Linked DNA regions of Macaca mulatta. The protein of the gene in region 3 purifies or fractionates together with the protein of the main gene of each other region. This does not show direct contact. Links are inferred from orthologs where the notes say so. Each region holds a gene or a part of one and is shown on either strand. Other genes may lie near its edges.

Region 1 (4,298 bases), on a different chromosome or scaffold from region 3:
ATTGGGAGTCAGGACACTGGGATCCCAGTCCCAGCTCTGCAGAGGGACCTTGGACATGTCACTCCTCTCTTCTGAGCCTTTCCTTAACTGTAAAACTTTAAAACCTTCCAAGTGACCTTTCCAATCTGATGACTCAGTTGAACAGTTGAGCCTTTGAACTAGGACCTGGGAAATGAAGGGAAGCAGCCAATCTATTAGGCATTTGGAACAAGAAAAGGACTGCCTGGGAGCCCAGGGATAGAGGCAGGGAGAGACTAAAGAGGGCCTGGCAAGGGAGAAATGGGGAACTGCGGGCTAGGGGCCTGCCACTGTCCCGATGTTTGATTTGGCAATCCCATTTTCAGTTCCTCCTTTCTTCCCTTTTTCTAACTCAGCCTTGCCTTATCTGGTGAGGGGAGGGCAAAATAGGACACTCCCACATTGAACTCATGCCCCCCAGGATACCTTCACCTTTTCCAGCCCTCACAAGGTCCTCACCTTCCTCTGCAGCTGCCTTCCTCCAGAGCAAGGCTTTCCAGCGGGAGAAGTAGAAAGCGTAGTGAATTGGGTGGGCATCTTCCTTAGCACCCTCATAGTTACCAACTTTATTTTTTTGAGATAAGGTCTTGCTCTGTTGCCCAGGCTGGGAGTGCAGTGGCACAATCTCGGCTCACTGCACCTCGACCTCCTGGGCTCCAGAGATCCTCCAGACTCAGCCTCCCAAGTAGCTGAGACCACAGGCGCTTGTCACCACTCCCATCTAATTATTTTTAATTTTTTTTGTATTGACGGGAATCTGGCTATGTTGTCCAGGCTGGTCTCGAACTCCTGGGCTCAGGAGAGCCTCCCGTCTCAGCCTCTCAACGTGCTGGTCATGGTTATTTACTGACAACTCACCATGAGCCAGGTACTGGGCCAAGAACTGTAATGCATTATTATTATTATTTTTTACAGCAATCCTAGGAGGTGCCTGTCAGGTGAAGAAATTGAGACTTGACGTTAGGTAACCCGCGCAAGGCCACGACTGGCGATGTGACCCAGGAAATGAGGTCTGACTTCCAAGTCAGTGCTTCGGCCAGCTCCTTCCCGCCGCGCGACCTTTGGCAGCTGGGGACCCCATCCGTCACCTACCACATCTCAGATCGGATTCTCGATGCACCCGCCCCTGTCCACGTGATTCCCCCGCCTACCTGGCCACGCCAGCCCCGCCTGCGGCGCCCGGCTGCCCCGAGCTGCCGGCTCTGCTGAGGCCGGTGGGGCGGGGCGGGGCGCGGCGCGGCGCAGCAGGTGGAGCAGGCGGCTCGGGCAGGGGCGTGGCCTTAGCCGTGAGGGGCGTGGCCTGGCGGGGGTGTGGCCGGAAGCCTTAAAGTGGCCTGGTTGCCGGGGCTGGCCGTAGAGGCCGCCAGTCGCCGCGATCTTCTCCTCGCGTCTGGGGCGTTATCGTCACCATGTCCCTAATGGCCTCGGCGGGCCGGGGCCTGGGGGCCGTGTGGTCCCCAACCCACGTGCAGGTGACGGTGCTGCAGGCGCGGGGCCTGCGGGCCAAGGGCCCCGGGGGCACGAGCGACGCGTACGCGGTGATCCAGGTGGGCAAGGAGAAGTACGCCACCTCGGTGTCGGAGCGCAGCCTGGGCGCGCCTGTGTGGCGCGAGGAGGCCACCTTCGAGCTGCCGCCGCTGCTGTCCTCCGGGCCCGCGGCCGCCGCCACCCTGCAGCTCACCGTGCTGCACCGCGCGCTGCTTGGCCTCGACAAGTTCCTGGGCCGCGCCGAGGTGGACCTGCGGGATCTGCACCGCGACCAGGGCCGCAAGAAGACGCAGTGAGTACGGGCGGGGAGGGGAGGGCCCTTCCTGGGGGCGCGGACCCCTCTAGCAGGGAGGTCTGGGCTCTGGACCCTTCGAGAGTAAGCCGGGCAGCGTCAAGGAAGGCCTTTCGGGACTGAGCCCTCGGCCGGTGCTGGTCACCTGGCTTTCCCTTCTGTCCCGCCCAGCTCTCCCAGCTTTGGGATTTTTTGGAAGAAGGGGCCGTGTCTGGGGCGCTTTTTTTTTTTTTTTTTTTTTTTTTTAAAAGAGTCTCTGTCGCCCGGGCTGGAGTGCAAATGGCAATGGCACGATCTCGGCTCACTGCAACCTTCGCCTCGCTGGTTCACGTGATTCTCCTGCCTCAGCCTCCCGAGTAGCTGGGATTACAGGCGCGCACCACCACGCCCAGCTAATTTTTTTTTTTTTTGAGGCGGAGTCTTACCCTGTCGCCAGGCTGGAGTGTAGTGGCAAGATCTCGGCTCACTGCAACCTCCGCCTCGCGGGTTCAAGCGACTCTCCTGCCTCAGCCTCCCGAGTAGCTGGGACTAGAGGCGTGCGCCACCATGCCCGGCTACTTTTTGCATTTTTAGTAGAGATGGGGTTTCATTAGATTGGCCAGGATGGTCTTGAACTCCTGACCTCGTGATCCACCCGCCTCGGCCTCCCAAAGTTTTGGGATTACAGGCGTGAGCCACCGCGCCTGGCCCACCCGGCTAATTTTTGTATTTTTAGTAGAGACGGGGTTTCACCGTGTTGGCCAGGCTGGTCTCGAACTTCTGACTTCAGGTGATTCGCCCACCTTGACCTCCCAAAGTGTTGGGATTACAGACGTGAGCCATCGCGCCCGGCCTGGGGCGCTTTTGAGTCTGCAGGACGCCCCTCAGCGTCTGGCACACAGTAAGCACTAAGTGAATTTGAGATGAATTCCAACTAAACATGGGCAGGTGCCTTCTTACTAGGGTGGTAGTCCCTGTCTGATACTCGTCTTCGCTTGGGTGGAAGGCCTCCTGGGTATTTCACTGAATGGAAGAACACTTCGAGCCCAGAATGACTGGGCCAGGGCTCAGGGCAGATGAACCGGAGGCATGAAACCAGCTGACATGAAACCAGCTGACACCCCCGCCCTAAAGGCTAACCCCAGGGGCAACGCCTTTACAATGCAGGGCGGGTGGAGGTTGGGGGAGGGGAATGGTGTATGCGGGCTGTCACCTGACTGCTAACCCCTTCTACCTTGTACTTGCCTGGGGGGTTGGTGAAGAGAATTTGCCCCTCCAGAAAGAATGTTACAACAGTGTGGTGTGTGCCCTGGGCCCCACGTTAGTAAATATTTCCCCGGGTTGGAGGGAGCCCGGATGGGCCCTTGGCCGAGCAGAACTGGGCATTGTTTCTTTTTGGAGTTGGTAGAGTTATTCTCTCTGGTCCTAATCCTGGTGGATGTAGCTCCCAAAGATTGTGTCACGGTATTTCACTTCCGCAGTAAAAATGGGGCAAAAACCATTCACTCCATGATATTACCGAATTACTTGTTCCCTTTCACAGGTGTTCGGAAAGGGCAGTACTTCACCCAAAGGAACGTTTGATTATATTCATCTAGTATACCAAAGCTAGCCTCGATTAGCTTAGCTGGTTACTTTGTTAGATCTTAAATATGCAGGCCAGTCAGCACCAAAAGCCTACAGTTTAGGAAGCACACTGATTCGCTTTGTGTGTTTTAGATATACATAGCCTTTTAACTTTCCCTTGTGAGGGAGACAGGAAAAGCCAGAGGGTTTGTCCTCGGAGGCTCCCTTTACTGTGGGGTGGGTTCCATTTCAGCATGTAGGCTTGCAAATGGAATATCTGATGATGCACTTACCTGGCCAAAGATGATCAGGCATTTCTGAACTCAAATCAGATAAAACCAGCCTTGATGTGAGGATGGATGTGGGGTATCTCACAGCATCAATTTACAAGCCATAAGGTGAGCAGTGTTTTTGCTAAGGAGGGGCTGCAGCAATGCTGATCTTCCCTCTGATTAAATGACACTGGGGGCGGTGGGTCAGCTTCCCTTCCAGCTTCAGACGGGTGCTGTTGGCCATCCATTGTCTTGCGCCATCCCAACAAGTGTGTATTCACTTCCTTCTCTGCCACCTGTTTCTTATGTGGACATTTTATCCCCTTGAGAGGTAGATCACATCTCCCTGCCAGAGATGGAGATTCCAGAGTCCCGGGTCCAGTGCCCACAGCGGCCCTGACTCATTGTTGGGCTTCTCTGTCCCTAAACAGCCAAGTTTCCCTATTTGTAAATAAAGCATGTTGCCAGACTTAATTGATGTTTGTAAGATGTTTCCGGGTTCCTGGATTAATGGGGCCAATGTATTCAAGAAGTGATTGAAAAGGTTCTGTAACTGCTTTGTGAAAGATTGAAACCTCCTTGAGCTCTTTTTTTCAGGAAGAGTTCAGTCTCTGCATCTTCATTTTTCTCATTTTATCCAATGTAACCCTAAACCTACACGATAACTCCCATCTATTATATGA
Region 2 (3,640 bases), on a different chromosome or scaffold from region 3:
GCCCAGAACTCCTGGGCTCAAGACATCCTCCTGCCTCAGCCTCCTGACTAGCTGAGACTACAGGCCCATGCCAGGGTGCCAGCCCATTTTGGAAGTTTTGATCTAAAAGGCAAACCTAGCACTCTAAAGTTCTGACTTGGAACAGGGCAGGTGCAAGTCACAAAAGGGCCAAAAGAGGCCGCTGTGGAGTTGTTCCTATGGCTATTCTTCCCAAGGGAAAGTTGCCTAGCTTTTCTTTTTTTTTTTTGAGACGGAGTCTCACGCTGTTGTCCAGGCTGGAGTGCAGTGGCGCGATCTCGGCTCACTGCAAGCTCCGCCTCCCGGGTTCCCGCCATTCTCCTGCCTCAGCCTCCTGAGTAGCTGGGACTACAGGCGCCCGCCACCGCGCCCAGCTAATTTTTTGTATTTTTAGTAGAGACGGGGTTTCACTGTGGTCTCGATCTCCTGACCTTGTGATCCGCCCGCCTCGGCCTCCCAAAGTGCTGGGATTACAGGCTTGAGCCACCGCGCCCGGCCGCTTTTCTTTACTCTGCTTTTGTTTTAGACCTGGGCAGGAAGGTGAGAATAATCTGTGTAGTTACCTCAGGTTGGCTGGAGTTGTGCTGAGTTCCCCTCCTCTCTCTTTTTTTTTTTTTTTTTGACAGAGTCTTGCTCTGTCGCCCAGGCTAGATTGCAGTGGCGCGATCTTGGCTCACTGCAACCTCCGCCTCCTGGGTTCAAGCAATTCTCCTGCCTCAGCCTCCTGAGTAGCTGGGATTACAGGCGCCCGTCACTGTGCCCAGCTAATTTTTGTATTTTTAGTAGAGACAGGGTTTCACCATCTTGGCCAGGCTGATCTTGAGCTCCTGACCTCGTGATCCAACTGCCTCGGCCTCCCAAAGTGCTGGGATTACAGCCACTGTGCCTGGCCTCTCCTTCTCTTCTCTTACCTGCAGTTGCTTCAACACCTGAAAGGCCAGAAGCTCTTGCCGAAGGTCATCCCCACACTTGACAATGACTGACAGGAGCCGCCAACTGGGGAGATGGCCATAGGGGGAGCCCTCTCTGATCCTCCTGTGAGGAGAGAAGTAAAGGGTGTCAAAGGTTGATGCCACGGTGAGGACAAGAGACATAGCTTCCACAAAAAATTCCAAGCAAATGCCCCATAGGGCAAGGACCCAGACAGCCTGCGAGTCTGACAGATTTTTTTGGAGGCTGCGAGTCTGACAGATTTTTTTGGAGGCTGATGGACAATAAAGTTGGCACAGTGAGCCCCTGCAACTGCCTCTGAGCTTTAAGAGGTGTTCAGAGACCCACACCCAACTCACCGTACTTTCTCCTGCCAGGGCTCTTTGAGAGCAACTGCAGAAGGATCTTCTGGGTCTCGTTTGAAGGCTGTCGGGGTATGAGCCAGCTGTTCCGAAAGGCGCCGGCTGTGAGGAAGAAAATACATCATTTGCTTGGAGGAGCTACCCACAAGCCCCATGCCATCTATACTGACATTTCCTGCACTGTCTCCTGGATTCTGGGCACACTAAGATAGGAACCCAGGCTGAACGGGACTCATGGAAGAAAACATAACCAGTGACACCTTTTTGCTAACTTAGTGATTGTAGTCATGTTAAAATTAAGATTACCAGGCACTCCATATTCCTCTATCAAGACTGATTCAGAATGGGTGTCTCTAGAATCTGCATTTTTTTTTTTTTTTGGACAGAGTTTTGCTCTGTCTCCCAGGCTGGAGTGCAGTGGCATGATCTCGGCTCACTGCAAGCTCCACCTCCCAGGTTCACATCATTCTCCTGCCTTAGCCTCCCGAGTAGCTGGGACTACAGGCGCCCACCACCACACCCAGCTAATTTTTTGTGTGTATTTTTTTAGTAGAGATGGGGTTGCACTGTGTTAGCCAGGAGTCTCGATCTCCTGACCTTGTGATCCACCCACTGCGGCCTCCCAAAGTGCTGATATTACAGGTGTGAGCCACCGCACCTGGCCTAGAATCTGCATTTTCAACAAGGCCTCCTTCCTCCCTCTGGATTCTGACAAACAGTCGCTTTGAGACCACACTTTGAGACACACTGCTCGAACTCCTTCCTGGGGTGCTTTTTTTTTTGAGATGGAGTCTCGCTCTGTTGCCCGGGCTGGAGTGCAGTGGTGCCATCACGGCTCACTGCCAGCTCCGCCTCCTGGGTTCATGTCATTCTCCTGCCTCAGCCTCTCGAGTAGCTGGGACTACAGGCGTCCGCCACCACGCCCGGCTAATTTTTTTGTATTTTTAATAGAGGCAATATGATCTGGCCATACCGGATGTCCCCTGCTGCAATGAACACAGGCTCCTTGCTCTCCTGGCTAGTGATGCTGTCCACAGAGAACTGGGAGATGTTGTCACAGCTGTTGGTGTGCACTTCGGGGAGCTGGAGATAGCAGGGGAGTGCTGGTCAGAAGTGCTAAGTATAGGTCTCCTGTCTTTCCCCTCCTGCTTGCTTGCTATCGATGCAGCATGCTCATCCCTCCCTTTCAAACTCTGCTTACACACCATGTTGATTACTTGGACCCCAGGCTGCCCAGAGCAGCATTTCTCAACATGTGAACTACCTGCATCAGAATTACCCGGAATGCAGACTCCCAGGCCCCACCATCAATCTGAATTAGAATTACTGGGAATGGGATCTGAAAGTCTGAATTTTTAACAAGTTCTCCAGAAGACTTCCAATGCACTGAAGTTTGCAAACCACTGCCAGGACCATCACAGGAGCTCAAAATTTCAGCCTCACTGAGAACCCCCCAAGGCTAGGGATATGTTCTCCCCTAGGGTCCAAAGCAGACCCTCTACAGACTAGCTTCTGACAGTTTCTTCAATCTAAGTCATTCAATCTTATCTTCTCATCTCTCTCTAACTACAGAATATTCTACCAGACCCCAAGGCCCACGTCAAGTCTCTTCTCTCCTTTATACCAGAGCATTTCTTCTCAATTCTATTTGTCACCTAGTACACACTGCTTTGTTGTATATCTAAATTTTTTTTTTCTTAAATGTCTAATGTCTCCAATTGGACTGTAAACTCAAAGACAGAGATTCTGTCTTTTGGCAGAGTGAAACCTGGCTGTGTGTTTTTTTTTGTTTGTTTTTTTTGAGACAGAGTCTCGCTCTGTCGCCCAGGCTGGAGTACAGTGGCCAGATCTCAGCTCACTGCAAGCTCCGCCTCCCGGGTTCACGCCATTCTCCTGCCTCAGCCTCCCGAGTAGCTGGGACTATAGGTGCCTGTCACCTCGCCCGGCTAGTTTTTTGTTTTTTGTTTTTTTTTTTTAGTAGAGACGGGGTTTCACCATGTTAGCCAGGATGGTCTTGAACTCCTGACCTCAGGTGATCCACCCACCTTAGCCTCCCAAAGTGCTGGAATCACAGGTGTGAGCCACCACACCTGACCCTGGCTGTGTTTTTGGTTTGTTTTGTTTTAAGACAGGGTCTCACTCTGTCGGCCAGTTTGGAAGGCAATGCTGTGATCTCGGCTCCCTGCAGCCTCCGCTTCCCAGATTCAAGTGATTCTTGTGCTTCAGCCTCCCAAGTAGCTGGGATTACAGGTATGCTCCACCACACCCGGCCTTTTTTTTTTTTCTTTTGAGATGGAGTTTTGCTTGTCACCCAGGCTGAAGTGCAGTGG
Region 3 (4,387 bases):
AGAAATCAGGGGTCCTGCGGCAATTAGTGGCAGGCTATGAAAATGGCCCATGGCTAAAGCAGAAAATGTCAGGAGGATAAATGTGAGGCTCTATAATTAGGTACAAATCAACAGTGTCGTTCCTGGGGGAAGGAAAGAACATTCACAGAGGAAAACAAACAGCACACAGGGCATCACCCGGGGGATCTGCTGGCCTCGGCCGCTGAGGTCAAGGGAGCCAGTGCGTGATGTGGCCACCAAAAAAAAAAAAAAAAAACAAGGCAGAGGCCAGGTGTGGTGGCTCATGCCTGTAATCCCAGCACTTTGGGAGGCCGAGACAGGTGGATCACCTGAGATCAGGAGTTCGAGACCAGCCTGGCCAACATGGTGAAACCCCGTCTCTACTAAGAATACAAAAATTAGCCAGGCATGGTGGTGGGTGCCTGTAATCCCAGCTACTCGGGAGGCTGAGGCAGGAGAATCGTTTGAACCCGGGAGGCGGAGGTGGCAGTGAGCCAAGATTGCGCCACTGCACTCCAGCCTGGGTGACTAGAGTGAAATTCTGTCTCAAAAAAAAAAAAAAAAAAAGAAAAGAAAGAAAGGAAACAGAAAAAGAAAGACAAATATTGAAAAAGAATAGAGGAGGTCTTCTGATGAGGCACAGCTGTGAAGGTGAGACGGCAGATGACCAGTTTGGGAAAGGCTGACCTTGTGCGTTAGATTTTTGCTACCAACTGGCTTGAGAAGGTCAGCAGGGCACCTGCTTAGACTCAGTAAAAGGAGGCCAGTGTGGGGAGGGCAGCAGGGCAGGCCCCCCCCCCCACACTGCCCGCCCGCCTGCCAAATGGCAGCTGCCGCAGGAGCTAGATCAGTGTTTCCAGGAGGCAGTCTCTGCAGACGGGTCCCGGGACCACACAGCCTCTCCGTTGCTCCTGACCCAGTAACTGTTCTGCTGGGAATGTACTTCAAGGAAATAACCCAAAGGGCAAAATCATGACTTGGGCAAACACTCGGAGCTGGGGTCATTTAAAACAGCAAAAGGGCGAAAATAACAAGCAGGGGATAACCACAGAAACCTGGACAGGGCACGTGGGGAGCAACACTCCCTGCCCTGGCAGTGCCACATCTGGGTGGGTGCCCAGCCAGGACCTGAGAGCAGCTGCCTCAGGAAGGGCTGAGTGGAGATGGCACCCGCCCAGCAGAACCCAAAGTTTGGTCCCCCTGTCTCCAGATGGCCCCTTAGAATCCCAGTCCCCAAAACCCTTCCAAAGCTTCCTCCTGCCATGAGGGCGAGACCTGGGGCCTGGCACCTGCCAGCCACAGAGCCTCACCCACCAGTGATATTATCAACCTGTGTGCAGTTGCCAGAGCCCTCAGTGCCGCAGGACGACTTCAGAGTCTTGCAGAGACACTTCCTCTCCCTCTCCACCGAAGGCTTTCGCCTCACGGACAGCTCAGGTGGGGAGACCTCTGCCCATTCCCCACAACCACAAGACGCTGGATGAGACCAGACGCAAGGCCCAGCTAGGCCTGGTGCAAGTCACAGAGCACGCTCGGAGGAACGGCTCAGCGAGGCGAGGATACCAACAGCTGATGTGGGACGCAGGCCCTTATAGAGCAGGCTGCAGGGTGAAGGCACCCTGGATCCAGGGGTTAACCCTCAAGGGCTGCCATTGTCAGCCAGGGAGCCCAGCAACCAGGGCAGACGACTAGGCGAAAGTCTAGCTGGGCATAGAAGGCTCAGCTGAGAAACAAGGGACTCCAGCTTCTTCCAGCAGACCGGGCAATGGCTGCCTGATCTGACTAGGCTTTATTTGATGTTCCTAGAGCCCCCTCAGTCTCTCGGGCGGGGAAGACCCTCCAACAGGCTGGCTGGGGCCCCGGCCATCAGTGCGCACGTTGGAAGAAGGTGGTCTAACAACCCCAAGTCCTAGATGCTGGCCACAAGCCCCTTAAGACACGCTTCCTAAGTGGTAAAGCCCACAGGTGGCCTGCGCTCAATCGGGCTCCAACACTTTATAAACTGTGTCTTTGTCACTCTGGGCTTCAGTTTCCCAATGTGTAAAAAGAGAGGCTGGTTAATATCAACCTCAAAGGGCTGCAGTGAGGATTTAAGTTCGTTTGCGTAAAGTGCTCAGAAAAGTGCAGGTACTGGCTTAGCGCCGTTGAGAGTGCTAAGTGAAGAGATGGAATTCTTGCTGCACACACGGATACCTTTCCACTCAATCCCAGCTCTGCACCCCAATCCAAGACTCCCACCACCACACACCTCACCCCCAGGCCCTCATCTCGGCCCAGCCCCCATTGTCTGCCCCGCCTATCCCGGGCCCCACCCCCAAACATGCTGACCCAATCAGGACTGGCCTCGTGAGCCCCGCCCCCACTTACCAGGCCCAACCCACCTATTCGTCACACCCATCAGCCTTAGCCCGCCTCTAAAACCCCGCCCCCATTCCGAACCACGCTTTCAGCCCAGCCCGGCCCGCCAAATCCTGGGAAGGCTCCACCCCCTCCGGAGGCCCCGCCCTAACGGCCTCTCCCACCGCTCCGGGCCCCACCCCCGCTAGGCCCCAGCCCCGCCCCAGCGCATCCTGGGTCCCCCAGGTCTCTCCGGGCCTCTGGCTCCGCATGGCCGCGAATCCTAGCTCGAAGCTGATGGAGCCCGGTCGGCCCCGGCCTTCCCGGCTGCCTGACCCGCCGGGCCCCAAGCCCCGGGCTCCGGACTGGGCCCAGCGGCCTGAAGCGCGGCCTTGGCCCGTCTGCCCGCCGCCTCGCCGCAACGCCCTAGCCCGTCTGTGCCCCACCGGCCGCACCTTTGAATAGGTAGTCGTACTCGTCGTCCCGGGTCCCCATTGTCCTGGCGCTTCCGGCGGGATCGGCAACTCCGCAGCCCCACCACAAACACTCGACGGGGGCGGAGCCGGCGCCGCGCAGAACGGCCGTTGAATGGCCTATCAGCGGCGGGTGGGGTAGCGACTGGCACCTAGCGGAGCCAATCAGAGATGGAAGTAGTGCTCTGAGGGTGGGCGCCGCTTGGTATCCACCCTCCTCGCCCTCGGTGTCCTGGAGAAAGGCGGAAGGAATGCGGACCTTTTTGAAGTGACGGTCGCGACAGCCTATTAGAGGCGAGCTTAAGAGGGCGGGGCGGAAGGCTGCAGGAATGAAGTGGAATGACAGACCAACTAACCAATGAGAGGCTGGATTGAGAACCTAGCCGACTATCAGAGGACCTGTCCGGGAAGGGAAATGGGGGTACGTCCAGGTGATGCTAAGATTCTTAACGTCCCGATGACGTCATAGGTCAGCGAGCGCTGCCCTGGCTTCGCCCCCCCAATCCCATAAATGATCATTTCCGGGGACCTCAGCGCTGGGTCCCCTTTGTCGGTTGTAGTTTCCATCTCTATTTTGGGACTCACTGGGTTATCCTTCTATGCCTCAGTTTTCTCCTCTGTAAACTGAAGAAACCCACCTCATGGAATCTTTTGAAAATAACCAGATCAGCTGGACGCGGTGGCTCACGCCTGTAATCCCAGGACTTTGAGAGGCCGAGGCGGGCGGATCACTAAGTCAGGAGTTCGAGACCAGCCTGACAAATATGGTGAAACCCTGTCTCTACTAAAAATACAAAAATTAGCCGAGCGTGGTGGCTTGCACCAAGAGTGAATCAACCGTCCACTTTCTGCTTTTCTTTGTTTAATAAATACTTACAAATCCTTATTGGGCACCGATGCTCTCCAACAGGACCTCCTACCCCTACCCCTCTTTATCCAATATTTTACCACATAGGTAAAATATAGGTAATATAGAAAATAAAACACATACTGCCGTATTGTCAGGTAGTGATAGGATTTATCACTACCTGACAATACAATATGTGTTTGTTTTATTTTATGTATTTAGGGCGTACAGCGTGCTGTTTTGATATACATGTACCCAGTGAAATAATTATGACAGTTTTTTGTTTTGTTTTGTTTTTTTGAGAAGGAGTTTTGCTTTTGTTGCCCAGGCTGAAGTGCAATGGTGAGATCTCGGCTCACCGCAGCCTCTGCCTCCTGGGTTCAAGCGATTCTCATGCCTCAGCCTCCTGATTAGCTGGGATTACAGGCATGCGCTACGGTGCCTGTCGAATTTTTTTGTATTTTTAGTAGAGACGGGGTTTCTCCATGTTGGTCAGGCTGATTTCGAACTCCCGACCTCAGGTGATTCGCCCACCTTGGCCTCCCAAAGTGCTGGGATTACAGGTGTGAGCCACGACGCCCAGCCAATTATGACAGTTAAGCAATTAACCTATCCATTGCCTTCCATAATTAACTGTGTGTGTAGTGAGAGTATCTACAATCTACTTTCTTGGCAAATTTTCAATATACAATGCAATATTACTAACACAAAGTATACATTACTTTTTGTT

What was found.
Region 1: the proteins of RAB11B (region 3) and RAB11FIP1 purify together in Homo sapiens (affinity purification with mass spectrometry; 3 studies listed by BioGRID and IntAct, counting the BioPlex papers as one, with this or other methods). This does not show direct contact. The link is inferred for Macaca mulatta from reciprocal best matches to the Homo sapiens genes RAB11B and RAB11FIP1.
Region 2: the proteins of RAB11B (region 3) and PI4KB purify together in Homo sapiens (co-immunoprecipitation; 3 studies listed by BioGRID and IntAct, with this or other methods). This does not show direct contact. The link is inferred for Macaca mulatta from reciprocal best matches to the Homo sapiens genes RAB11B and PI4KB.

What each region holds. Positions count from the first base shown.
Region 1 is NC_133413.1:39,830,298-39,834,595, reverse strand, and holds the start of RAB11FIP1 (rab11 family-interacting protein 1), read left to right. Parts: upstream 1-1,371; 5' UTR 1,372-1,427; coding exon 1,428-1,798; intron 1,799-4,298. UniProt on the Homo sapiens protein: A Rab11 effector protein involved in the endosomal recycling process. Also involved in controlling membrane trafficking along the phagocytic pathway and in phagocytosis. Interaction with RAB14 may function in the process of neurite formation.
Region 2 is NC_133406.1:115,778,116-115,781,755, reverse strand, and holds part of PI4KB (phosphatidylinositol 4-kinase beta), read right to left. Parts: intron 2,394-3,640; coding exon 2,284-2,393; intron 1,413-2,283; coding exon 1,308-1,412; intron 1,054-1,307; coding exon 930-1,053; intron 1-929. UniProt on the Homo sapiens protein: Phosphorylates phosphatidylinositol (PI) in the first committed step in the production of the second messenger inositol-1,4,5,-trisphosphate (PIP). May regulate Golgi disintegration/reorganization during mitosis, possibly via its phosphorylation.
Region 3 is NC_133424.1:9,236,354-9,240,740, reverse strand, and holds the start of RAB11B (ras-related protein Rab-11B), read right to left. Parts: upstream 2,898-4,387; 5' UTR 2,833-2,897; coding exon 2,793-2,832; intron 578-2,792; exon of another isoform or gene 448-577; intron 1-447. UniProt on the Homo sapiens protein: The small GTPases Rab are key regulators of intracellular membrane trafficking, from the formation of transport vesicles to their fusion with membranes.